4 linked regions of the Neodiprion lecontei genome follow. The protein of the gene in region 3 purifies or fractionates together with the protein of the main gene of each other region. This does not show direct contact. Links are inferred from orthologs where the notes say so. Each region holds a gene or a part of one and is shown on either strand. Other genes may lie near its edges.

What was found.
Region 1: the proteins of serine/threonine-protein kinase PRP4 homolog (region 3) and U4/U6.U5 tri-snRNP-associated protein 1 purify together in Homo sapiens (affinity purification with mass spectrometry; 3 studies listed by BioGRID and IntAct, with this or other methods). This does not show direct contact. The link is inferred for Neodiprion lecontei from reciprocal best matches to the Homo sapiens genes PRP4K and SART1.
Region 2: the proteins of serine/threonine-protein kinase PRP4 homolog (region 3) and U4/U6.U5 tri-snRNP-associated protein 2 purify together in Homo sapiens (affinity purification with mass spectrometry; 3 studies listed by BioGRID and IntAct, with this or other methods). This does not show direct contact. The link is inferred for Neodiprion lecontei from reciprocal best matches to the Homo sapiens genes PRP4K and USP39.
Region 4: the proteins of serine/threonine-protein kinase PRP4 homolog (region 3) and pre-mRNA-processing-splicing factor 8 purify together in Homo sapiens (affinity purification with mass spectrometry; 4 studies listed by BioGRID and IntAct, with this or other methods). This does not show direct contact. The link is inferred for Neodiprion lecontei from reciprocal best matches to the Homo sapiens genes PRP4K and PRPF8.

The regions. Positions count from the first base shown.
Region 1 is NC_060262.1:28,400,350-28,408,029, forward strand, and holds the start of U4/U6.U5 tri-snRNP-associated protein 1, read right to left. Parts: upstream 6,014-7,680; 5' UTR 5,928-6,013; coding exon 5,765-5,927; intron 5,430-5,764; coding exon 4,978-5,429; intron 4,697-4,977; coding exon 4,568-4,696; intron 4,396-4,567; coding exon 3,976-4,395; intron 3,750-3,975; coding exon 3,587-3,749; intron 3,509-3,586; coding exon 3,234-3,508; intron 3,151-3,233; coding exon 3,063-3,150; intron 2,942-3,062; coding exon 2,743-2,941; intron 2,545-2,742; coding exon 2,358-2,544; intron 2,105-2,357; coding exon 1,950-2,104; intron 1,710-1,949; coding exon 1,682-1,709; 3' UTR 1-1,681. UniProt on the Homo sapiens protein: Plays a role in mRNA splicing as a component of the U4/U6-U5 tri-snRNP, one of the building blocks of the spliceosome. May also bind to DNA.
Region 2 is NC_060260.1:4,204,699-4,211,051, reverse strand, and holds U4/U6.U5 tri-snRNP-associated protein 2, read right to left. Parts: upstream 4,354-6,353; 5' UTR 3,462-4,353; coding exon 3,380-3,461; intron 2,994-3,379; coding exon 2,715-2,993; intron 2,641-2,714; coding exon 2,465-2,640; intron 2,396-2,464; coding exon 2,170-2,395; intron 2,100-2,169; coding exon 1,813-2,099; intron 1,721-1,812; coding exon 1,592-1,720; intron 1,512-1,591; coding exon 1,450-1,511; intron 1,359-1,449; coding exon 1,136-1,358; intron 1,070-1,135; coding exon 1,010-1,069; 3' UTR 962-1,009; intron 786-961; 3' UTR 514-785; downstream 1-513. Other genes in the region: glutamate receptor ionotropic, kainate 2, read right to left, coding at 5,452-5,541, 5,839-5,895, 6,032-6,292.
Region 3 is NC_060261.1:1,567,889-1,572,582, forward strand, and holds the start of serine/threonine-protein kinase PRP4 homolog, read right to left. Parts: upstream 3,013-4,694; 5' UTR 2,895-3,012; coding exon of another isoform or gene 2,890-2,894; intron 2,583-2,889; exon of another isoform or gene 2,546-2,582; 5' UTR 2,469-2,545; coding exon 2,425-2,468; intron 2,333-2,424; coding exon 2,168-2,332; intron 1,987-2,167; coding exon 1,704-1,986; intron 1,580-1,703; coding exon 1,107-1,579; intron 1,035-1,106; coding exon 347-1,034; intron 217-346; coding exon 1-216. Other genes in the region: uncharacterized protein LOC124293103, read right to left, coding at 4,406-4,694. UniProt on the Homo sapiens protein: Serine/threonine kinase involved in spliceosomal assembly as well as mitosis and signaling regulation. Connects chromatin mediated regulation of transcription and pre-mRNA splicing.
Region 4 is NC_060264.1:1,831,801-1,836,420, forward strand, and holds the start of pre-mRNA-processing-splicing factor 8, read right to left. Parts: upstream 3,014-4,620; 5' UTR 2,814-3,013; intron 2,324-2,813; 5' UTR 2,304-2,323; coding exon 2,084-2,303; intron 1,896-2,083; coding exon 1,727-1,895; intron 1,634-1,726; coding exon 1,469-1,633; intron 1,359-1,468; coding exon 1,143-1,358; intron 768-1,142; coding exon 429-767; intron 185-428; coding exon 79-184; intron 1-78. Other genes in the region: complement component 1 Q subcomponent-binding protein, mitochondrial, read left to right, coding at 3,431-3,647, 3,808-3,958, 4,044-4,246. UniProt on the Homo sapiens protein: Plays a role in pre-mRNA splicing as core component of precatalytic, catalytic and postcatalytic spliceosomal complexes, both of the predominant U2-type spliceosome and the minor U12-type spliceosome.

The DNA of each region.
Region 1 (7,680 bases), on a different chromosome or scaffold from region 3:
TTTTGAGTGCCAATGATTTTTTTATAGCTAATAATCAACCAACTAATGAACAATGCCAGTGTATACACACAAATGGACTTTGAAACATAAGAAACCCAATTTTACTTTTAGCTTTTTTTTTTCAAACCAAATTATAAAAACCGCTTCTACCAAATCCCTAGACCAGTTTGTATAATCTTTTACATTTTTAGGCAAAATGAACGTGTCTGTAACTGCAGACATCCGTTTTGAATAGCTTTTGAATCACAAATGCGTATAATCGATCGAGATGCACAAATAAAGCTTTAATGCTAACATTAATGAACGTATGCTTCATAATTGTTATTCATTAGCATAAATTTTGTAGATCCATTGCTAATCACTATCTACATTAGATATATGTGACGGTTTTACATATGCAAAAATAACATTCAGATATTTCCCATCCCGAAAAGTCCGACTTTTTTATACTCCGAAGTTTTTGCAAACATATCTCGTGTAAATAGTGATAACAACTAGGGTAACGATTTTATGTAGAAGGCTACAATCAATCATACAATGCAGTGTAGCTAGTAAGAAACCTTTATAAGTATTTGTTATAGTTTTAATAAATGTGAACATTAATCAAAACGTTGTATTCTTCACTGTGATTCAATGTATAATTTTCTTAATAACATAATTCGAGAGTCTGGTAATGACATACAAAGTCGGATGAAAGTCCAAGTTAACGATAAATTTCAACGTCGGCATGTGTAAAATCAACTATGTATTCAGGTAAGTCGTTTATTTATTATTGAAAAAGGTTTCATTCGAGTTTTACATATACATGCATGCAAAGTGAAATAAAATGAAGGTGATCAGGTCTATTGATTGCTTGTAATCTGCAAAGTAATAACTAAAATTCCTTGCACCTAAATTGTTTTAAATGACATTTATTAATATATACTTAAAATTCAAGCATTTCTGATATATGTGTAGCAAACAGAATATACGATTTTCGGAAGATATCACTTTTTCCACGAGGCGGAATTTTTGGACATAGAGTTGAAGTATAAATTTTGCGACCAAAAAGTAAATGAACATCCTAAATTTTGGGTCACTAATTTTATTATTCTTTTTTTTACACTTTTACTATTTGTTTTAGTTTACTTCTTCGTACATTTTCTCTCAAAATTTCCTAATCATCAGTTTATGCTTCGAATATTTGTATTGCTATAGTGAATCAGTTTTCATTATTTAGAAGATTCCAGTTCATACTTTTCAAATTTCTTATTTCCTAAGAATAAATTATTACGGTTTCAATTGAATAATTGATTTGACACTGTAATGCAAACAATAAATTCTCCTAGTTTCGGTAGAGAACTCATTATCTACCGAAATTAATTTATGAACTTTAATAATTGTATCATGATATTGTGACACCTCATTACGGTGTTAAAGGTAATTGTAAGCGTCTAAACAATGGAATTATACACACATTTAAACATATGAAATTGTAAATAATACAAGGATAAAAACGGGTTTTGTATTATAAAGATGATCAAAATTTTTTTAATAGGATCTGCTGATTTATGTAATATTCTAAAGATACCTGAGAACTGAGCTTTAGAACACTCACCCTTACGCAAACCTTATCAGAGATTTAATATTACATTATGTATAATAATGTACATCTTGATTTTCCATCTTTTAATTGATAATTTTAATGCTTCGTCTTTGATATGCTCGTCCTGAAAATCGTTATATGAGCACATTACCACCAGTTTATCCATGCCTTCAGATTCTAAGTGAGTATCTTTGTGCACAACATATCATAATATGATGCATTGAAATTATTACCTACACCAAGTTATTGGAGGAAGAATTTTCTATCACACATCAACTATTGGAATGTACCGAAACTTTTCACGCAATATAAAATTGTATTAACCAAGTTATTTCCCATGAATAGCATATTGTGTAAAACTTACGTTTGCAACTGCTTGCTGCCACTCAGCACAATGTATGGAGATTGTGTTTCTTTTTGCTTAGCTTGCAATAGATTAAGTGTACCTAGTGGAGTATCAGTAGAAGACATCCGCTTCATCAATACTTCTTGCTCAGATTTCTTCATTCTCTTTTCCACCTAGTTATAAAAAGTATTAACAATTCATGGCATGAAATTATCATTGATTCATCAATGATCAGAATATACATATATAATTATATTACGCATTGCATTCAAAATCGGGTAAATAGCAGATTTATTGCAGCGCTACAAAATAGTAACTATTATAAATGAAATTCTGAATTGACATTTCCTATTATAAATTTATAAAGCTTAATATCATTAGCATGCATTGTTCTACATAAATAGATTAAAATATTTTTCAATATACCTTGTTCTTCCCAGGACCTTTACCATGAAATTTATGAGAAAGATATCGGAATGCTTCCTTGGCACTCAAAACGTGTCCATCATCGTCGATATATTCCAACTTGACATTGGGCTTAAATCCGTCTCGTTCTTTGAATTCGGAAGTTGGTCCATTAAACCTATCTCTTCTGCCAAACTTGTCATCATCCCTGCATTTATAAAATAATTAATTGATCAGAATCTTCTGAAAACAGTTACATTCAAAACAAATTAAATGGGTAAAAGTGTACAAAGAAAAGAAAAAAAACTGAAAATAATAGTATATTGGTTTAAAATAATGATTATTGTTTTATTTTTTTATCTTTGAGAAAATTCGAATGTATTATAATATCAAATATAGTACTTACCCATAAGTTTTATCTTCAATAGAATAATTTTGTGCCTGTAAATGAGCAAAACGGGATGCAGAAGGTCTGTTAGTATCCTCTTTTTGTAAATAACCTTTACTCATTGCAAGTCTTAGAGCACCGCCTACACCCTGTCCAAGCGATGGTTCTGCATCCAAAATTGCAGCCTCCAGTGTTATTGGCTCAGCTGCAGCTTCATCTTTGAGGTATGGGTAAATTTTGAGATTTTATTGAAATACTGATAAGGCATAAAGATAGTTCATAATTAAACAATTATCAGGAAAGGAAGTAGAACGTTAGTCAAGTAAATGCATTTTTACCTATTTTTACTGTATTCCAAGCTCCACGGCCATCAGCATCTTCTCCATCATCTACCGTTTCATCTTTGATCCCCTCAGCCTCAAAGTCCTGATCAACATGATGAACTGTTGCAATACTTGTTATGCATTGAAAGATTTTGAGTAGATAAATAATTACTAGAAACACGTTACCATGAGTTCTTGAACATTTTCTTCCCTGTTTCCAGCAAGCCCGTAAGTTGGAATGTCTCCTAATGTTCTACAAAATTCAGCAGTCGCATTGAGTACAATATTACCAACTTGATTGTCATTTGAATTGTCAATTTCTTGTTTTATTGTTTGAGCAACTTTTTCTACCCCAGTTTGACGTGCTAGTTTCACACGTTGTGCTTTTTTCAATGCCAACTGCCATTCGAGTTCTCTGTCATCATCTTCAATTTTAACACCCGACAAGTCTTCACTTGTATCTAAATTCCAAGGAAAATGTAATTGATGTAAATTAAATTAAAGGAAGTAGGGATTATATTGTTGAAAAATAAATTTACTTTCTGTATCATCGACATCCATAACAAGATTTTCAGGATCCTCATGATCCTTTTTTTCTTTATGTCTTGAATTCCTTCGACTTCCTAAATCTCTGAGATAATCAGTTGTATCAGGAACAAGATCGTCTGCCTTCAACATCTTTTTCTGTCTGATTTTTCGGATCTAAAAGTTGCAATTAATATAAACCATACTCTAAACACTAAATAAAATGTTCAGATAATTTTATTTTTATATTAAGTTCCATTAATCTATTGCTTTATTTCAGTATCAAGTCACATGATCTATTTTTTCCTATTTACCATGATTTTAAAACGAAAAATTATATAGAACTGACTAAATTGTTAGAATAAGTTGCGACAAAAGGTTTAGACGTTGAATACTATCTTACTTTTTTCTTGGGTTTCTTAAACTTTGCCAACTCTGCATCAGTGTAATATTCACTAGCTAACTGTAGCTCTGGCATCCTTAGTGTTTCCAATTTTTTGTTCGCTAGGCGGTGTTTTACAATTTCAGTTTGTCGTTGTTTTCGTTCTTTAGCATTATCATAACCAATGGCAAAACTTTCCTTCTTCTGTCCATCTATCTCTTCATCATATTTGTCTAGAACCGTTTTCACTGGGAATCCAAACTCATCAAAATTGTCTTCATCATACGCATCGTACCCAGGTTTTTTAGTTTTATTCAAATTACTGCGCGAATAACGCTCTTCGTCCAGCATATTTACGTTTACTAGTACATCTTCATGCTCATCTAAAACTGCCTGATCTTTGAGTGTCAGTACAAGGGTCTTGCCCTCCTCAAAAGTATCCTGTAACAAAAATAATTAAATTTCGATTTAATCATTACATGTTATTAACAAAATAAATGCAATATTTCATGGAACATGACTATATTAAATTTACAACTGCTACATTTGAAACCCATAATAAATCCTAATTACAGTAAAGATTTTTCAATTCGACAGAATATATCAAACTTACCATGTCATGTTCGACTTTGAGCCCTCGTAAATCTTTGTTCGAGTAGGCTGAACGACGTTCACTTTGAACCTCTTCCTCAACAAGAGTACCTATACCGAACTCTTCGTCCAACTGATCCAACATTTTTGCCTGAATAATGAAATTAGAAATAGTCTTTAAATGGATAGATGATCGTGCTTGACTTTCTTACATGAAAGTTTTCAAATACACATTATTAATATAATACAAGAGTGGTTGGCTCTACTTCAAGCATTAAGATTATTTAAAAATATAACATAAAATACTAATAACATCAAATGCAAATTAATTATTACAGCATTATTTCATAAGTATTTTAATTTTAAACTTGACGGTGCTGGCATAAATTGAAATAATGCCTTTAAGCTTTAGGTCAAGTATTCTGTATTTACCCTTTCATCAGCCTTCTTTTTCTCCAACTGAAGGAGACGGTTTTTTTGCACCCAAGCCTTGGCGTCATCATCTGAATCGCTTTCGCCCAAAGTTTTGAGTTTTGAAAGATTGGATTCAATCTGTCGTTTTTCCTTCTGCGTGTTCAGTCTATCTTTGATCTTTTGCGTTTTTACTTTATCGCTAGTATTTGGTGCTGGCTTGTGATAAAATTCTCCTAAATCATCTTTGATTTTGTTAGGATCATCTACAGAGGTAGTACTGGTCTCTAAAGGTTTTAGACCAAGCTTTGCTCGTAACTTATTTGTTTCTTCAACTGACAATGATGTCTGCGCTGCTCCTCCTTTGGTTGGAGATGCACTCCTTTGACGAGATATTTCTGGAGGAGGTGGTGGCGTCAGTGCATGTGGTATTCTCGATATTTTTGGAGGTGGTGGAGCGCTGACAATTTCAACTATAAACACAAGAGGATAGTTTCTTAATACACGATATTATTAAGTAGTATAAATGTACATTAAATTTGCAACTATACAATATAAAAGTAAGCGCTAATTCAACTCAATAGCGCAATAATTTTTACTAATAGACTTGGATTAGTAGTCCTCTGAAGTACATAGCACGAACATTACATTGTAAAAAATATATGAGAACTATTACGGTTTTAGGGTAGCTTTGAACAATCAGTTTTAAATCTATGCATGTGTAGGTGTTTTGGTGAAGGTTTGTTACCTTTAAAGGTGTAGGATAATAGTTACGTTTACGAAGGAAAAAACTAAAAGAGGTTAGTACCATCGCTGTCGTGATCCTTGCGTTCTCTTCTTTTATGTTTTTTGTGATGCCTATGTTTGTCGACTTTTTCACGTTCTATAGAGTGCGATCTAGAACGGCTGCGATGACGTTTTTTCTTAGTTTCACGAGTTTTTTCAGTCTTGTGCCGCTTATTAGATCCCATTTCTTTAATCTTAACACTTTAACCTATAAATTTAACTGAACGTCGAACTTCGTCTTGTGTTGAATAGACTTTATCACGATCACGAACTACTCCGTGATCATGAGATACATACAACAGAAATTACGTGTTCCACTGATGTGTTCGTAAAATCAGTGGCTGGCCAAGGTGACCTTAGAGCATGTAGAAGGCGAGTAGCTAGTTTTAAGTTTTCCCGCCTACACGCGCGACTCAATCTGGCAAGCGGTTGATAAGTAGCGGCGAAACGAACTGATGTTACCATCGCTCACCGCGTGTACGCAGATAATGCAGTGAAATATTCTTATACCTATGGAATGACGAACGGGAACAAACTGATATTTTCATATAACTCCGTATGGACGCCGTATACTTTTCAACTACGCAAATTCATTTAGGCCAAATTCGGCAATGTCAATTTAACTCCATCGGATCGACAAAATTGATGTCATCTAAATAGGCGCACAATAAACATGCACCTGATTTACTGTTAACAAAGTTAGAAACCTTTTCTTGATGCGAAGGATGGGAGATATAGTCGAAGAAGTTAATCAAAGGATGGAGATATATATTTGTTCCTATATGTACCTTATGTAATTTCTGTACATATTTTTAATACTTGACTTATACGTTTAACTGAAGATAATAATATGTATCTTCAGTCAAGGCTCATATCTTTATTCCAAAAGAAGATGCAGCTGACATATCAAAAATTTTTCCCACTCAATAAGTCATATTTTTTATTCCAACTGATTTGTGAATTGCGTTCTTGACGAATCACTTCCTTTAAATAAATTTATATGTATAATGTGACAAAACATTTCTCTTGTTCTTTTTAATTGAGTCTAAGATGCCTTTCTTTTTATATATGTGAATGTAATAATTTGTTGAAAAAAATATTTAACAGTAGATTCAGTTAAGTGGTCTAGAAATCAAGCGGGTATACAAATTTGTCATAAAAATTTTTAAATAATTTTCTACAATACACATCCAAAAGCGAAGACGGGAGTTAATTTCTTACTCTGCATTCCATCTTTTACAATGGGGCTTTTAGACAGATCACCCGTATCTCGAACATACAAAATGTGAATATAGTTCTTTTTGTTATTTTTAGTACCCGGTTAGTACTCTGACTAAACTAGAGAAATCCGAAAGTATTACGATTCCACACGCGTTACACATTATCGAAGCACGAGTTTTATTGACAATGAGTTAAATTAACACAAGATAAAATTTTCATTTGAAAAACTATAATATCTTAGTATTTGACGAGTGAAAATGAGTTCACTTATGCTCGTTTCCACACCACCGCAAGCGGTAGAGCACCCGGCGCGTTTTTTTTTTACGTGGTATCCCCAGTAGGCCTACTCCACGGAGAATACTTGCAAGATCGATCTTACGTTCTTCGAAAAATTTCAAATTACTTTTTTCATACGTTAATTACGGTTAAATGATTTTCCCAATCAATTGGTACTCGCATATGTTTGCAGTTTGTTCGAAACTTTTCAGTTCATATGACCCGTTAACTATTTATTATGGATGAAAGATGACTGTTTTAATTATGGATGAAAGATGGTTGTTTTAATTATGGATGAAGGGCGATTGTTTGTATCTTATTTTTGTATCAATAAAACTCAGTTACCTAGAACAGATTAAAATAGAATTAACGAAAAAAGGACAGTTTAATTAGTCGAAACAGACAAAAGGTTTGATTAACTGAACCCGACAAAAGTTTGAT
Region 2 (6,353 bases), on a different chromosome or scaffold from region 3:
GCGTGTAAACACGAATACCTTTATCTTTCGATGAAACGAACTCGCGCACGGCTCGGAGCCGACTCAAGACTCGATCGCTGCCGAGAGTTCGGCGTTGTCCCGCCGCCTTGCGCGTCACGTCGAGCCGGGCCGCGCTGGAGGCTTCTGCGCATGCGCCGATAACGCGTTCGAAGCCGCGGAAGGTTCGCTTTCGGATATGTTTTGAGGAGCTTTTACGCCGGCTGCACGCGATCCGAAGCTCTGACGGTTTTTAAGAAATTATCGTATCGCGTGACCTCCGACGACTACCGAGCGATGCGATTTTCAAAGGTTTTATAGCGATTTATTGGCCACGCGCGACTCGTATAGACTCGATACTTCCACGTGTATCGAACAAACGACGGCTACGGAACGCAGTGAAGCGAACTGCCGATCCCGGGGATCCTGTTTCCAACTCATTTGCTTCTTCTTTGTTTTTTCAGGTTCAGGATTGACTTGGCAACCCTGCCGGTATATTCGAAGTGAGGCACGACGTTATTTTTTAAATCAGATTTTTGTTTTAAAACATCAACAATATCTGTAAATAGATTAATGTATCTGAATATCGTACATTACGTCTTATCCTCTTCCTAATATCGCAGCCGAACGATTGCTGCTAATTTCCGGAGTCTTCAAGGGCACGATTACTCGTAAAAAAAATTGAAAGTTGTATTCGATGGGTAATAAATTGCGTCACCAGTATCGATTTACTGTTTTTCTCTTTCTTTGCCACCTTAGTTCAACGACCCGGAGCGTGCGTCATCTTTCTATAAATAAAAATTACTATTCAGCCTGAATGAAAATCCTTGGCTTTCCGATCGATTGGTTTGAAAGTAGGGACGTTTCTGTGTGACACGATTTTTTACTATCCTTCTCTCCTCGTTTCAAGACACTCTGTGTGGAGAAAAGGTTCAGTGGCTATTAATTGTTTAAAATATCGTACTTTATTAAATGGTTCATTAGGCGTCCTCCTCCCTGTTTGTACAATTATTTATTTCGCTGTCTGGAATCCTTCGGTTTCGAAGCCAGCTTCTCTCCGTAATTCATAGATCTGCAATAAATTGGTGTGTAAGATTATGAAGTTGCATTACGGTCATCAGGGTAATGATATGCTTACCTGAATGTAAGCTTCAGTCAACGTAATCATTTGCGGTAATATTTGCGTCACGTGTAAATCCTGCATCTCGTACCACTGGCCTGTCCCTCTGTGCAAAACGTGAACTCTGTACGTTCCTTGACCGGGCTCACCGTCGTGAACTATGTTCGCTACCAAGTCGTACGTCGTGTACGGGTGTCTAGCCTTAACTTCCGGCGTGAGGATATCACCGAAATCTACATTTCTGCAATGTAATTTGGGGAAAAAATTATTTTACTCAAATGTAATTATTGTAATTGCGTTATTGAAAAGTACAAAAGCAAGCAAGCACTCACTTGACGGGAAAATTAACGATGGTGGGATTCTTCTCGACGAAGAAAGTATTCTTCGTAAATCTCTGTAACGTGTAAAAAAGTTTTTGGTATCGTTTTTTTAATTTTGAATAATTAGTTCGTAAATCGTATTTTATTCACGTACCTTGATGTACAAAATAAGATAAGGTGGTAGTTCGGTGATTTCAAATCTCTTCATGAAATTTTCCTTGTACGTTTTATACTCTTTTTCGGCTACTGCATTAAACTTGTTTAGTAATGTATACAAATTCACCTGTCAATTAAAGAATAAAATTACCAAAGTGCCCGATATTGAATGGAACGAGTTTTACGTGATGACCAACAATATCGATTTGCCTTGCTAACCTGAGGAATGATATTTTCCGTAAATTGGTCCTTGAAGAGCGGAGGTGGGGGCAGATCGCAAGTCAGGTACAAGAAAGGGCTTTCAGTTACGGTTTCTCCATACTCGAGTGTATTCAGAAGCTCACTTCGTTGACTCTCTTCCAGTTCTAGTGGCGGTATTTTCCGTGTATAAATCCGCATGTGGCCAAGAAACGTTTTGTATATAATGCTAGAGTCTTTTTTTTTCGTCCCATTTAGCGCCAGATGCAACGCGTTGAGAAACCAGGACAGAAAATCCACCGGATCACCTGTGGCGCAAAAATGTGAGTTCACCATGACAAGAAACGTGCGTATAATCATCGTAAAAATCTGGACAACCTTGTTCTGTGAATTGGAATCTTTTTTTGCTCCACAATACAACAGCTTGAAGCATTTCATGCGGGCTGACATGAGCCTTGAAATTTCTGGGATTCCATAACTTTCTCATCAACTCTCCGAACCTCTGGACTAGAAGGTAAGACGAATCTCCTGGCGGTCGTTTCACATGGGAGTAATTATATTCTCTCAGGAAGAAATCTCGCAATGGAGTAACGTGAGACAAAGCCTGTACAGAAAAATATATCGAGGTTGCTTTTCGCAAGTGTCATATTTGGCGTTGATTGTCCAAATTTACCTGCAAAATGACGTTGCAGTAATCATTTGCCTTAATGTTGTTCATTCCGACTATTCCGGGTGAATACATCGAGCCATCTATAGCTCTGGATAATTTGTCACTTTTGTCCAACTGAGAAATTTGCCATTTATCAAAAGTAGGATTTAGAACGTACTTTATGTCGTCAAGGGATGAATCTGTAAACATTAGCAACAGGGTCAGGGTTGAGTCGAAATCAGAAGATTTATATTATATAGGTATGTCAACTTACCGACAATTTCATAGTTGTCCGGTAAACAATAAAATTTAAGCGTGTGAAGATTAAGAAATACATGATGACTTTCAGCGACGCTATGAGTATAGGCGTGAGTGTTAGTGCCTCTACCTTGGAAATATTTACCACAAACTAAACAAGCGTAAACGTTGATTCTGGAAAGAGACACAGAACACAATTTCTCAAAATCAAAATCCAAGAATTGACGATTGATCGTATCGAGGTAAGGGCACAGACGTGGAGCCTCTGAGTTCGATCTATAGGTTTTTTGCTGCGCTGTAAGAAAATAAAAATGAACCACATGAAAATTGATCGGTTTGTAAATGATTTCGAGATACCGAGGCATGAAAATCGAGATACCAAAGTCATTCAATGAATTATACTCAAAGATTCAAGGTAAGGTTTGTCACTTGAGATAATAAACAAGTTTCCCGAATTCGGAATCACTTACTACTGGCAAAAACGGATATATTTGCTGTATGTCTAATTGGGAATGAGGATAATTGATGTTTCAATCAAGTAATAAAATGCAAGCCGAACGTGACGAACTTGTAGGTTAGTTTAGGTTATGTGCCGTTGCGTTGATGAAAAACTTTTTACTCGGGCAGACATATTATCACAAAAACAACGGTATTATTTATTATTTGAATTACAACAGTTACCATCGTTATCGTCGTCCGAATCACTGCCGTGTTCCACTAATTTCCTCTTTAGTTTACTTCCCTGTTTCCTGGACGCCATCATTGATGTTTGTTAGTTTTTCGACCTCCGACCATCGAGGTTCTTCGACTACCGATGAATAACTCGAGAGTCGAATGAAACTTACTTCGAGTCGGTTCAAATACTGACGAATTTATCGGTAGTCGGTGAATTTGCCAAATGCGGACTTGCTAAATAATGAAAATGTATAGTTATCTTCAGTAAACGCTTTGCGGTACTTACCATCCGGCAAGTAATGCATAATACAGGGCGTGCTTATCATAGCGAAGTGCCGCTGTAGCGGTCGAAGCAAAACAAATAACAGACATTAACGATTGATGTTGTTGCAGCAAGAACGAGAATCTAAGAAACTTTGACTACCCAAATATATTTCAAAACATTAATCATTTATCATTTACTCAACTAGCGCATTTCCATTGTAGGAGAGAATCTGGATTTACAAGAGGGATGAACCAATCGCACTATATTTGCACAATCATGCGTCAATGCGATAAGATCTATACTTAATTTACGTAATCATTGTTTACCGAAGTTGCAAAACATCGCAGCTGTAGAAATGAAGAAATGAAAGAATAGATTGGTTTCTCTCGATTCAATAGAAAAACAAATTCGCTGCTTGTCTATTTTACCAATACGCAATAATTATCGATTTCAAAAATGACTTCGATAAAACTTTTTTTCCTTTAATGAAATGATTTTTTTTTCACAGAGATTTTTAGGAAGTTGATCGTCGAACGGCAACGTATCCACGGTCTCAATCGTATCGAGTGACAATACGATCGATCAATCCTTTTTGTGAATCCATGTGTTCAGTTTTCCCAGGGATATTCACCAGTAGATGATGAGTAATGTTTGGGCTAGATTTCAAGCACACAAAGTTTGTTAAACATCTATTTATGCTGCAATACTTAACATCGTTTGGTAATTTAATTCGTTCGGTTTCGACCACTACATTGGCACTCCACTATGGCTATTATTACGCTTTGTGTAACGATCCACTTTAGTATGTATCGATACCCAGCCTGCGTTTACTTAAAATTTAATAAAATTGAAATAATTAAAATTACATTTATTAAAAGAATTAATTAAAATTAGTTCCAAAAACGTTTTTCATTTTCGATTATTTTTCCGCATAATCGTACAAGGAAATACGAAAAAAATACCATAAGCGGAATGCAATTCTCACGGATTATGCAACGTATATTATACCTGTATCAATATGAATAGCCTAAACATAATTATCTGCACAGCTCACACGAATGCAACATGTATAGATGTGTGTAAATATTATAAGTTGTACTCTTTAATACTAACATTCATCGTCTTATTATGATATTACACAATAATAATTACACATTTAAATTCAAATGTATAAACTAGACAAGTTCTCGCTTATCGTTATACATACTAAATCCGTATGTATACATCTATACCGACTATTTATTTACAATAAATATATATCATGATCGCGATTTGGATTCGTCATTACCATTCACCTGTATATTATATTGTTCGTTATACACGACGTGTAAAACACGTCATGTGTATCAAGAGGTACTATAGTTCACATGGTATCGTCGTTCCAACAATAACAATCACAATTTCAACTCAACTCCTCTAAATCGTTTATAATTACATATTACAATAATTCTGTGCAGTGAACTCAATTGTACTCGGCTCTGATCAATCAGCAAACGTGAGTTGTAAATCCGTTTATAGATCTGAGACAATTGATCTGGCAAAGGACGGTGAAACCACGAATAACTGCCTGAGATCGTACGGATTTATCTACCGCGCGTGTACCGACCGCATTAGAATGTACCAGAAAACAGAATTAACGCTTACGGTTGAACGCCTGGAAAAATGAATAAGTAATAAACGATTGAAATGACATAGTTTTGCTCAAGTTTACGTAAAGCGTGAAATTTTCAACCACGCTAGGAGAAAAATTCGGGTGAAAATTTTTCAAAAGTAAAACGAAGAATGACGAAGAACTTCGGACTTGTTGCCATCTTCAATCGTAATCAACGTCGAAGTCGTGCGAAAGTCCGTGATGCATGTGAATGTGGGGTGGAAGGTCGATGGCGCCCCCCAAGCTACTCCTCTGAAAAAATTTCAAACTTTTTCCCGTTGTGCGAAACTTTTTATACACCTACAACAATGCCGATTTCAAATGGGATTTGTTTTTTCTCTTACAAAATTACACGGTTATCGTGGTACTGTACATACTCAGTGCTTTACAAATTAATTTATACGCAGCGATAATTGCGACAGCTTTATTTTTCGATTAGCTGGGTGTAAACTAAAAAACAAAAGCTACAGGTGCAGCGGAAAGCGAGTTCGAGAGTTTGAAATAAATAAATAATAAGAGAACAAAGAAGAAAAAAAAAAAAACACACACAAACCAACTGCAGGAACGAGCAAACTTCCATCGATACAAACTCTTTCGACGTTCGATCTGCGGATGTTAAGCTGCGCGTTGAAAACCGGCGATTGATGTAATTGCAAATATCCTAGAGGGTTGATTTCATCTCCAGGCATATTCGAATCGCATGCATTTCCAAGGAAGACGTTATACGCATTTACGAAATCACCTGTGACCTCATCCCGTTAATCGGTGTGGGGGTTTGATTTTCTTGGAGGTAACCAGATCCTCTGTTTGACGAGCATTTTTCGCATCCCCGTCTTCTGCGCTTTGAAGAATTGCAGCGAATCGCCAGACAGAGCTCACGAGCCATTTCGGAGCACAGCGATTCCTGGGGGTTGGAATTCTGCTGTTGCTGTTGCTGTTGCTGTGTTGCCTGAGGAATGCCTTGCAGGGAACCGGAGCAGGTCGGAGGTCCCGTTGGCCGTTGCTGCGGGATAAGAAGAAAAAAGAAACGCCAACGTTTCATAAGTTCCTGCGAGCGTAAGGAC
Region 3 (4,694 bases):
GTTAAATCTGGATTTTCGCTTTTTCATAGATTGTTGAGGTGATTTTGGTTTTTCTGGTAATGGTGGAGTGTGGCTCTCTGAGTTTGATTCATTATTGTTTGAAATAATATCTACTGATTTGTGGGACTCAACTGACACATTGTCTGACGGTGGTGAACTAACTACTGTGTTCAACTCCATTGAGAGATTTGAATCTTCGCTTGGCCCTCCTAACCTCTGTAATACACAATATAAGAATCTGGGTAACACAATGTGGATGCATGCCTACTCGATTGCTTTGGCACGACCAAATTCTACATAAATTCTTCTCGTAAAAATCGATAAATTGTGGAACCTGGATACTTACTTTCAGGAGTTCTTCTCTCTGCTTCCTTCGCCGCTCGATAATTGCTTCCTCATCTTCCTCTTCTTCGATATCAATGTCTTTGATGTCCTCTTCGCTGGAACTCTCCGAATGTTCTACCTTCAAACCCTCTGACAAGGAATCCTTGTACTTATCATTTTTGTCTCGTTTGCCATTCTTGTCCCTCTCCCGCTCACCATCGCGTCCATGCCTATCTCTATCCCTACGGCTTCTAGAGATAGATCTAGACCTTCGATGACGGTCCAGACGATCTCTGTCGTTTCTGTCAGTTCTATCATTCCTGTCATTCCTGTCATTTCTGTCGTTTCTCTCATTCCTCTCGGCTCTCTCATTTCTGTCATTTCTGTCATTCCTGTTTCTCATGGGACTTCTAGACCTTCTGTTACTCTTTGACCTTTCACGTATTCTATCGTGATTTCTGCTGTCTCTTCTTTCCCGACTTCCTTGTCTCTCCCGATTCAATTGATGGTCACGATTCAACTGACGTTCTCGGCTATCCCTCTTCTCTCGACCAGAGAACCGGTCCCTACCACCTGAGGTATCGTGATTATCTGATTTTATAGTACGGTGTCTCGAATCTGACCTTATGTCTCTGGCCTTGGATCCATTGCGAGGTGAAGGTTCTCGCCTTGTAGCGTGCCTATCAGAATCACGTTTGCGCTCTTCTTCCCTGTAATAAAAATCAATCTATATTCATTACGAAAACATCGGTAGTTGAATAACATCAGAGGTCTTAATTTACCTTCGTTCATGATCTCTCTTGCGCTCTTCCTCCTTCTTGAGCATTTCTTTTCGCCTCTCGTCATCCAGTCTCCTGCGTGATTCTTCACGTCTTGCATCCTCTTTAGCCCGTTCAATTGTCTTTCTCGATGTCCTGTCTTCCCGCCTTGGTTCGTCTCTACCCCTAACTTTGTCATCTCGTTTGCGGTCAGTATCTCGTCTTTTGTCCTTCGCCTCCTCGCGACCCCGTCTGTCTCGGGACATATCAACAACTACACGCCTCTCAAGTTTTGAAGAGGGCACTCGTTTTCTCTCTCTACTTTCTGATCTACTCCTTGGACGCTTCTTACGGCATATGCTATCCTCGCTATCATCTTCGACTAGAATTATATCAGGTGTTTCAGCCACTTTCATTACACCTTCCTGCAGTTGAGTTTTACCCTCTTTTTCAGAATCATCAGATAAATATTGCACTAAACATGCCTGAAGTCTTTCCTGTAAAGAAAACAACAATAATCATTCTTTTTTTTTTATCACTCATGATTCGTATTTTTCAATAATAACCCTACATGAGTTATGAGTATGATTACTGAGAGAAGGACAAATGTACTAATTTTACCTTCTGTTTCATTAATTCCTCGAGATCAATGTCGTCTTCGATAATAGTACAGTCAACTTCGTCCGAATCCAAGTCGATTAGTTTTTCATCTTCACTTTCCTCAGAGGAAACTACCTCAAGTTGCGAAGCTTGCACTTTGCCATTCATGTTGGTCCCTTTAGGAACATTTGTATTTTTATGGATGTTGGATGACTTGACGTCAACTGGGAGTGGCTTTTCTTCAACAGAACCATTTTCATTGTCCCTGCTCTTTTTTGGACGTTTGTGCTTTTTATGTTTCTTTCTAAAAAACATACTCTACAATGACATATGCAGGCATAACAATATCTTGGCGTTATCATAATTGTGTCAAATAATCCCTTTTTAAAAACTATTAAAAATTTAGGTATGGTTTGTTTACAGGTATAACAATCATTATTATTTATCTTCAGAACTAAAATTACAGAAATGCTTGATAGTCTTACCTTTCTTGCCGATCAATCCTTTCCTCTTTCTCCACAGTTTTGTCCTTCTTGTGCTTGTGATGTTTGTGCTTCCTCTTCTTCTTTTTTTTCATTTCGCCTAATACCGCTATATCAGACTCATCCATCGAATCAGTTTTTGGATCAATGCATTCCAAGTCCGAACTTCTAGCAATGTAAAACAGATCACAGAATTTATAGTAGGGAATCAAACTAAGCTACCGCTTATTAATAATTAAGAAATAACAGATATTGACTACCTAATACATAGTTGAGAAGATTCACAACAGCAGTGAAGAGTCATTTGCACGTGTGGATTAAAATCCGAATCCGATATATCAGATCTGAGCTAAAGTATAAGGTTGTCTGCTCTTCGGTTTCCTTGTTTGACATTAAGAATTGGGGAGCATAAACTGACCTTTAAGATCGCAGATTGCTAGGTTTTAGGTTTGGTCCAGATATAATTAGGTATGTTCGAATTGTGGTAAATTATATTAAAGTATGAGTACAAAAAAACGGAGGTGTTAGACGAGAAATAACTGCGCCAACAGTCTCAATGAAAATGATTAGATTTTCTCAGAAGTTTACGATGAATTAACGAATGTATTTTGTTTCGGGGCAGCCAAAATAAACACATGAGCGTATTACGAGCGATACGAGGGCAATTATGAAAACTAATCGGTACATCCAGCCAAATTAGGATTAGAATTAAATGTCCAACTCACCCCATCTTGGCTTTTCCAAACTATCACAAAGAAAATCCCACTTATTAAACCGCAAAACGATTCTCGTACGTAACGCTACTCTCTCAACAGACCGCCATTTTCATTTCCGTTCTCCTCGGCCGCACAAGCTTCGACTACTCGCCGAACGACTAACAAGATATAACGTGTATTTCCGGTTTAAGGATCAGAATCCGCGGGAGGTTGCACAAGCACTTTTTTATCGACGGAGCTTCTTCAGATTTTCCGACGACGTATGACTTTGTATTTCTCTAGGTATTTCAAATTGCGTTTGGCGTTTACAACTGATTCCTCGATTGCCTTGCACAGAGCCTGAAATCTGCTATAGGCCGACTGGTTCCCTGTTTGGTACTGCTTTCAACCACAGTACGTCTTTTAACTGCTACAGTCGCGGCTAATTCGCAGTTCACCGGTGACGCCGCCGCCATCTTACATTGTGTTACATTTCACAAAGAATATGATTTATCATATTTCTACACATGTTATAGGATGTATGTTAACATTATTGAAAGTTTAATTAATGCAATTGTAAAATTACCCCTTTGATAATCTGAAAGTCACAGGTACTTGATAAATAAAAATGATTTTCAGAATTCTTATAATTATCTCAGTTTTTGCAATGAGTTTTCTGGAACCACGTACTTTAATTAAAATTACTCTAATTACTTTTAGCCCTGTACCCTTAGGCTTCTGTGAATTTCATCATCACAAGGAAACTCTATGAACCTGCATGGAACGCTGAGTAGGTCCATCTTGAGTATACGCGTAGGCCATGACTAGGGGTGTAACAGGTGCAGGCAGGAAAATGTGGTTCTTAACCGGTTTTGGAAAAATTAAAATCGAAAACGTTGGAACAGAAATTTGTATATCATTTTTTTTTTTAAACATATTAAAGATATATATATATATATATATATATAATATTGTTGAATTATATGTATTAAATTCAATTTACTTCAGATTACTGTTCTGGATTTTTTTCTGTGGATTCTTCAAATCGTCTATCATGAAGCAAACTGGGTTTATGTTTATGAACGATGTTCTGTCATTGTATAACTTGGCAGCATATTACACGTATTACAGCATCTCCTGATATCATAACGTTTGAATATTTTTTTGCATGCACGTCTGCTGATTTTTGCATCCTGGGCCTAAATTTGCAAGTCGTCTTTGGCACACACGAACAATGGTTGAAAGCAGTTTTCCGCATAGGCTGGCAGCATATTGTACCATATTCAAATGCATCACCTTATTCGTGTCTTCATTTAATCAGCACCACCTTTGATTCTAGCTTGGCGGGGGTTGAATTAAGAGTTGACTGGTACTGACAACCTAGTGAAAATGAGCCAACTATAATACAAAATACTGATTATGCATACTAACTTTTCCCCAATTTCTGTAAACAAAATATGATTCAAACAACGAATAGTAGTAATGAATATGATTTCAATACCTGTTTAGTCAGTGTGAATGACAAAATCCTTGTCTTAATTCAGTATCAAAGCCCATGCCCGTTTCCAGTTTCTTTGATGTCAGTAGTTTCTCTCTTCGGTACATACTTTTTCATTGTTCGTTGTCGAATTTTGTGCCGTTGCTTGAAACGTTTCGCCCATGACTCGGAAGCCTGGAATTTTAATTCCGGAAGTTGGCTGGCAGCAGCGAGACCCCATTGCTGCAAATTTCTTGTTGTAACAGGTTGGTTCGATTGTCGAGCTTTCATGAAACGATTGTAAGTGCAAGAGTCGATTATTTTGTATTTATCTTTGGTGGTACCACCACTGGTAATC
Region 4 (4,620 bases), on a different chromosome or scaffold from region 3:
AGGGATGTCGACGTGGAACAGCTCGAAATCAAATATGATAATCTCTACACAGCATTTATTAAAGTGCAATGGATGTACCTTCAATGAATTTCGGTGTGAAATCGGGTTGATCAATGGGTCAAAATAAAAGGCAGGTAAATCTGGATCCTCGGTCTTGATGTAGACAACGTTAGGAGCGTGGTACCTGCGACCAGGATGTAATTAAACAAATACAAGGATAGTACTGTTAAAGTTAAAAATTTGTCTGTGATTTCAGCAGTCGCCCTCTCTCCTCTACGAGGGTGACGAATAACGATCACTAAATATTTTACCACACGGCTAGTAAGACCACATATAATTTTAATATTGTCTTAAAACTGGTGTGGATATCAATATAATAACAGAATCTTCAGAAATTTAAAAAATAATCTGCAAGTAAAACTACCTACCACGAAAGATGAACGAAGTGTGGCATGTTGTTGTACAGATAAGGAAAAGCGATACGATATTCCGTACGAATTGGTTGTCGGATGATTATTTTATTTATGTCGTTGAACTCGTTCCAATCCTCATCAGCAGCATTTGAATCCTTCACAAGGGGCTCAAACTTAGGACCGCCAGGAATGGCCATGTTCAAAGCTTTTGCAGTAAAGAACGACTTTGGATCAAAGAGGTAGAAGAAATTTTGATCAACCAAATCAGTCAGCAGCTGATTGGCCAACCGATATAATGTTGCCATTTGTGGAAGGGACAAGTTCCACTTACGATAAGTTGATCCATTAACATGCCTGGAAATTATTAGAAAAATTTCGTTGCATGAAATAATTTTGGTCATGTTTCTTCAGGCTGCTAAATTTTGAGTATATACGTAAGTCTATTTCAGATTAGCGTTTGATCCAATCACAACGTTGCATTTGTTTTATCTCAGACAAGCAAACAACAACGCTGCAACCGTCAGACCACATGAATGACTGATTTCAGGACCCCTACGCGATTCATCATGAAATTGGTGTATAAATGACGTATATTGTCAGGAGTTGGGCAGCAGGTCATATATTGACGCCAAAGCTGCGAAAGGTCCTGATATTGCTAATGAAATAATTCAGTTCACTTTCAAGAAAAATTTCAGCTGAGCTCAGCATCATAATCAAGCATTTACTTACTTCGTCCCAACCAAAGGTTTGTGCTCGTAAAACCATGTAGCAACCGATTCGTCTTCCTCCGAGTCAAGCTCGATTTGTATGGCTTCCAAAGGCTCGACATCCAACACATTGTCTGCATAATCTAGAGGCGGTTCTTCGTCATCGAACGGAGGAAATCTCATTCTTTTGAAATGTCTTCTGTCTCGTTTCTCACGCCTCATCATGATCCACATTGTTCTTAAAATTAAATTCACTAGATTTTAATCACGATCAAACATTGGGCCGAAGTAATTATTTGACCTTTTTTTCTCTCTTAACAAAGAGCTGGAAATTCTTTAAAAACTCACCCCCACTGAGCGATATAGACTGGTTCAATGACCCATGGAATTTCATTGACAAATGTGATGGCTCCGGTGATATGATACAGCACTTTGACGTCCCGAATTTGTTCCCATGGCATTGGCATGTTTTCCAACAATTTCATCACAGCATGAGGCATGTATTTCAGAGCACTGTAATTAATATAATGACCGTATAACAAAAGGTGAAGACAAAATTACAAACAAAAAATAGAGCTTCATTGAACACTGATACACGATAATTACCCCAAATAAACACGTTTGTCATGTCTGTATTTTCGGCTGCTCATATCTCCATGATCTCTAATAATCTTCCTTATGTGCTCAGGCGGCATATCCTCCTTCTGAGCATCGACGAACCCAAATTTACGTTTTTCCGCAAAACGTTTGGACTGTAATTGCTGCCACTTTTGAGCTAAAATTTGCAGAAAGTGGGATAACGAAATCAAGTTATCTAATCATATGTGAACAGTTTTCATCAATGAATGTTATTTGGAAATATATCAATTTTTTAGATGTTTTCTTCAATCACTAGAAAATAATACACATGCGTAGAGGACCTTTTCTGTCTTTCCAACATTAACAATAATAATCCATTCTTACCTTTTTCCTGCAATTTATCTTCGGAAATAACTTCGGGCTGCTTAGGCAGCTGCGGTAGCGGCGGCCCAGCCATTGCTTGCATGTGAGCATGATGGGCTGCCTGAGCATGAGCCGCTGCTTGCGCGTGAGCTTGCGCAGCTGCAAGCTGAGCGTGAGCCTGCTGCTGGGCCATCATGGTGGCCCATGGGTTTGGGCCCAGCAAGTAAGGCGGTATAGACATTTTGACGCTGACTTATTTAGCTGAAAAGAAATTTTTTAAATCTTTGATCAATCAGCTAATTATTATAGAAATTATGAGTTGAAAAAGTAGTATAACTAGACGTAAATGAGCATATAAGAAATCGTGCCAATTGACCTAGATATCATACAATCCGAATTAAATACGTGAAAGTAAATCAATACGGAAATACAATGTGGCAAGAAAATGTCACGTAATCTGTCAATCATTTACAGAGTTATTGAGTAATAAAAATGCGGCGTTGAGGCCTGTAAATACACATCCTTTGGTTATGGTTGACTTCCATTGTCAAATTGGGATCTTAAAAGCTTTTATTACTTTTATTCGATTAGTGAAATAATTATGATATTTTTGAGGTTATATAAGCAAAAATTTCCGCTTAGTGATCAGTCAAAATCGACGCCGACCGTTGATTTTCATTGGCGAGAATGCGGTGAGGACAAAAATCGTCAGCCATTTTGATCACGAGAATGTCGTGAGTGTTGTATTTACCTTGGTTTCTGTTGCAAATAGGGTATCGCTAGTTGTTCAGCAACATCGCGCCCAATTTGCTCTTCCAATTAATCAACTGGTGTTATTTGGCACCTGATTTTCGTCCGTCTATACGTATCTTTGCGAAACGTATCTCCTACGTTTACAAGCCGACATGCCGAACGAAGACGAAATTACTCGAATACTCGAAATCAGTAGCGCCGCTACAAAATGGCGGCTGCGTTTACTAAACTCTTTGTAACACTGAGTCGACTTCCGGTCACTAAGGTTACACGCATCAACCGTCGAGAAAAATGCCTGCACTTCGGCGTGGAAAGTCCACTGAAAGTCACATTATACGATAATAATTTTCACCCCATATCCGCGTCTAAGTATACCTGACTAGTTTGTGGTTTTGAGCTCACCTTAGTGAACATCCGGTCGGCGAACAGGGTAGAGGCAAGTATGGTAGAGGAAGACGAGAATACAAGAGTGAACGTAGCCTTGACGCAACCTTTTCCGCGCAAGGAGTAGCTTGATCGCGAGCCGTGCCAAGTCGTGCATCAGCCGAATTTTAGAAAACAGTGTAAATTAATTACAACAATTATCAACGGCGGTATAAGCCAGAAGACAGAAAGATGAACGGATTAGTCAGAACCGCTCTGAGGGCCTCAACTCTCAAGGGATTAACACAATCTACCGTTGTTGTCGGCGGCACGGCACGAAGGGATTTCGCAAGAACGATGTGGAACATGTGCAGCCGGCAAAACGAACTTGCACCACTAACGAGTTACAAAATTCAAAATCCCAGCGATTTTTGCAGCTGCGGCTGCTCCCGAAAGGCACACACCAAAGGTTAGGGTCATTTTTCAATGTCACCTCGTAACTTCTCCGCCCGAAATATAATTTACTATTATTATTATTATTACTATTATTTGGTTTTTTTTTTTAGTGATAATTTTCTCTCTATTTATTCAATTGCAATTTTTTGTCATTTACATGGTTGATGCTATAGCGGAGAAAGAATTGGGACTCTTTTTAGCTGAAGAAATTGTTGCGGAAAAGAAGGCACAAAAAATGAAGACCATTCCCACAGAGTTAGACGGCTTTAAGATATCGTTAGATGGAGCGGAGGTTACGCTCACCAAAAAACATGGAGATGAAACGTAAGCCAAAAATTGTTTAGCGATCTTCTTGCTATAGTTATTACAATTTTGTGACAAAAACTTGACTGAATTCGTAATTTTTTAGCATAACGATAAATTTCAATGTCAATCATACTGTCGATTCTGATTCTGAACCCGACATTGACACCCCAGAAGACAAGGCTGAATTTGGAGAAATGAAAAGCAAGCCAAGCTTCGAAGTTGATATTGAAAGAGGAAATCAAACTCTAGGGTTCACATGTTCATTCAATAATGAACCGCAAGCTTCTGGTGCCGATGATGGCTACAGTAAGTTTTTTTTTCCCTCCCATGGACCAAATTAAATTTTAAAAAAATCTCGCCATTACGAAATATTGAAGTTACATTTTTTTCTTTATTTTCAATTTGACTAAATTTACGCTGCATTCTGTTTTAAAATTGTGGTTGATCGGACGTGAATGGTATCCAAAGCGTTGAGTACAAATTGACAAACTTTTTGTCTTTTTGATAATTTACCTTTGGAAAAGTAAAGTGCTACCGTTGGCATTGGGTAATATCATAAACAACGAAATTATCTCAGTCACGGTGGATCGACAAACCCTTATAAAAGTGCAACATTGCAACTTACGTAAATAGAAAAATGAAAATTAAACAGAGTAGTAAGTTCACTACATGAAAGAATT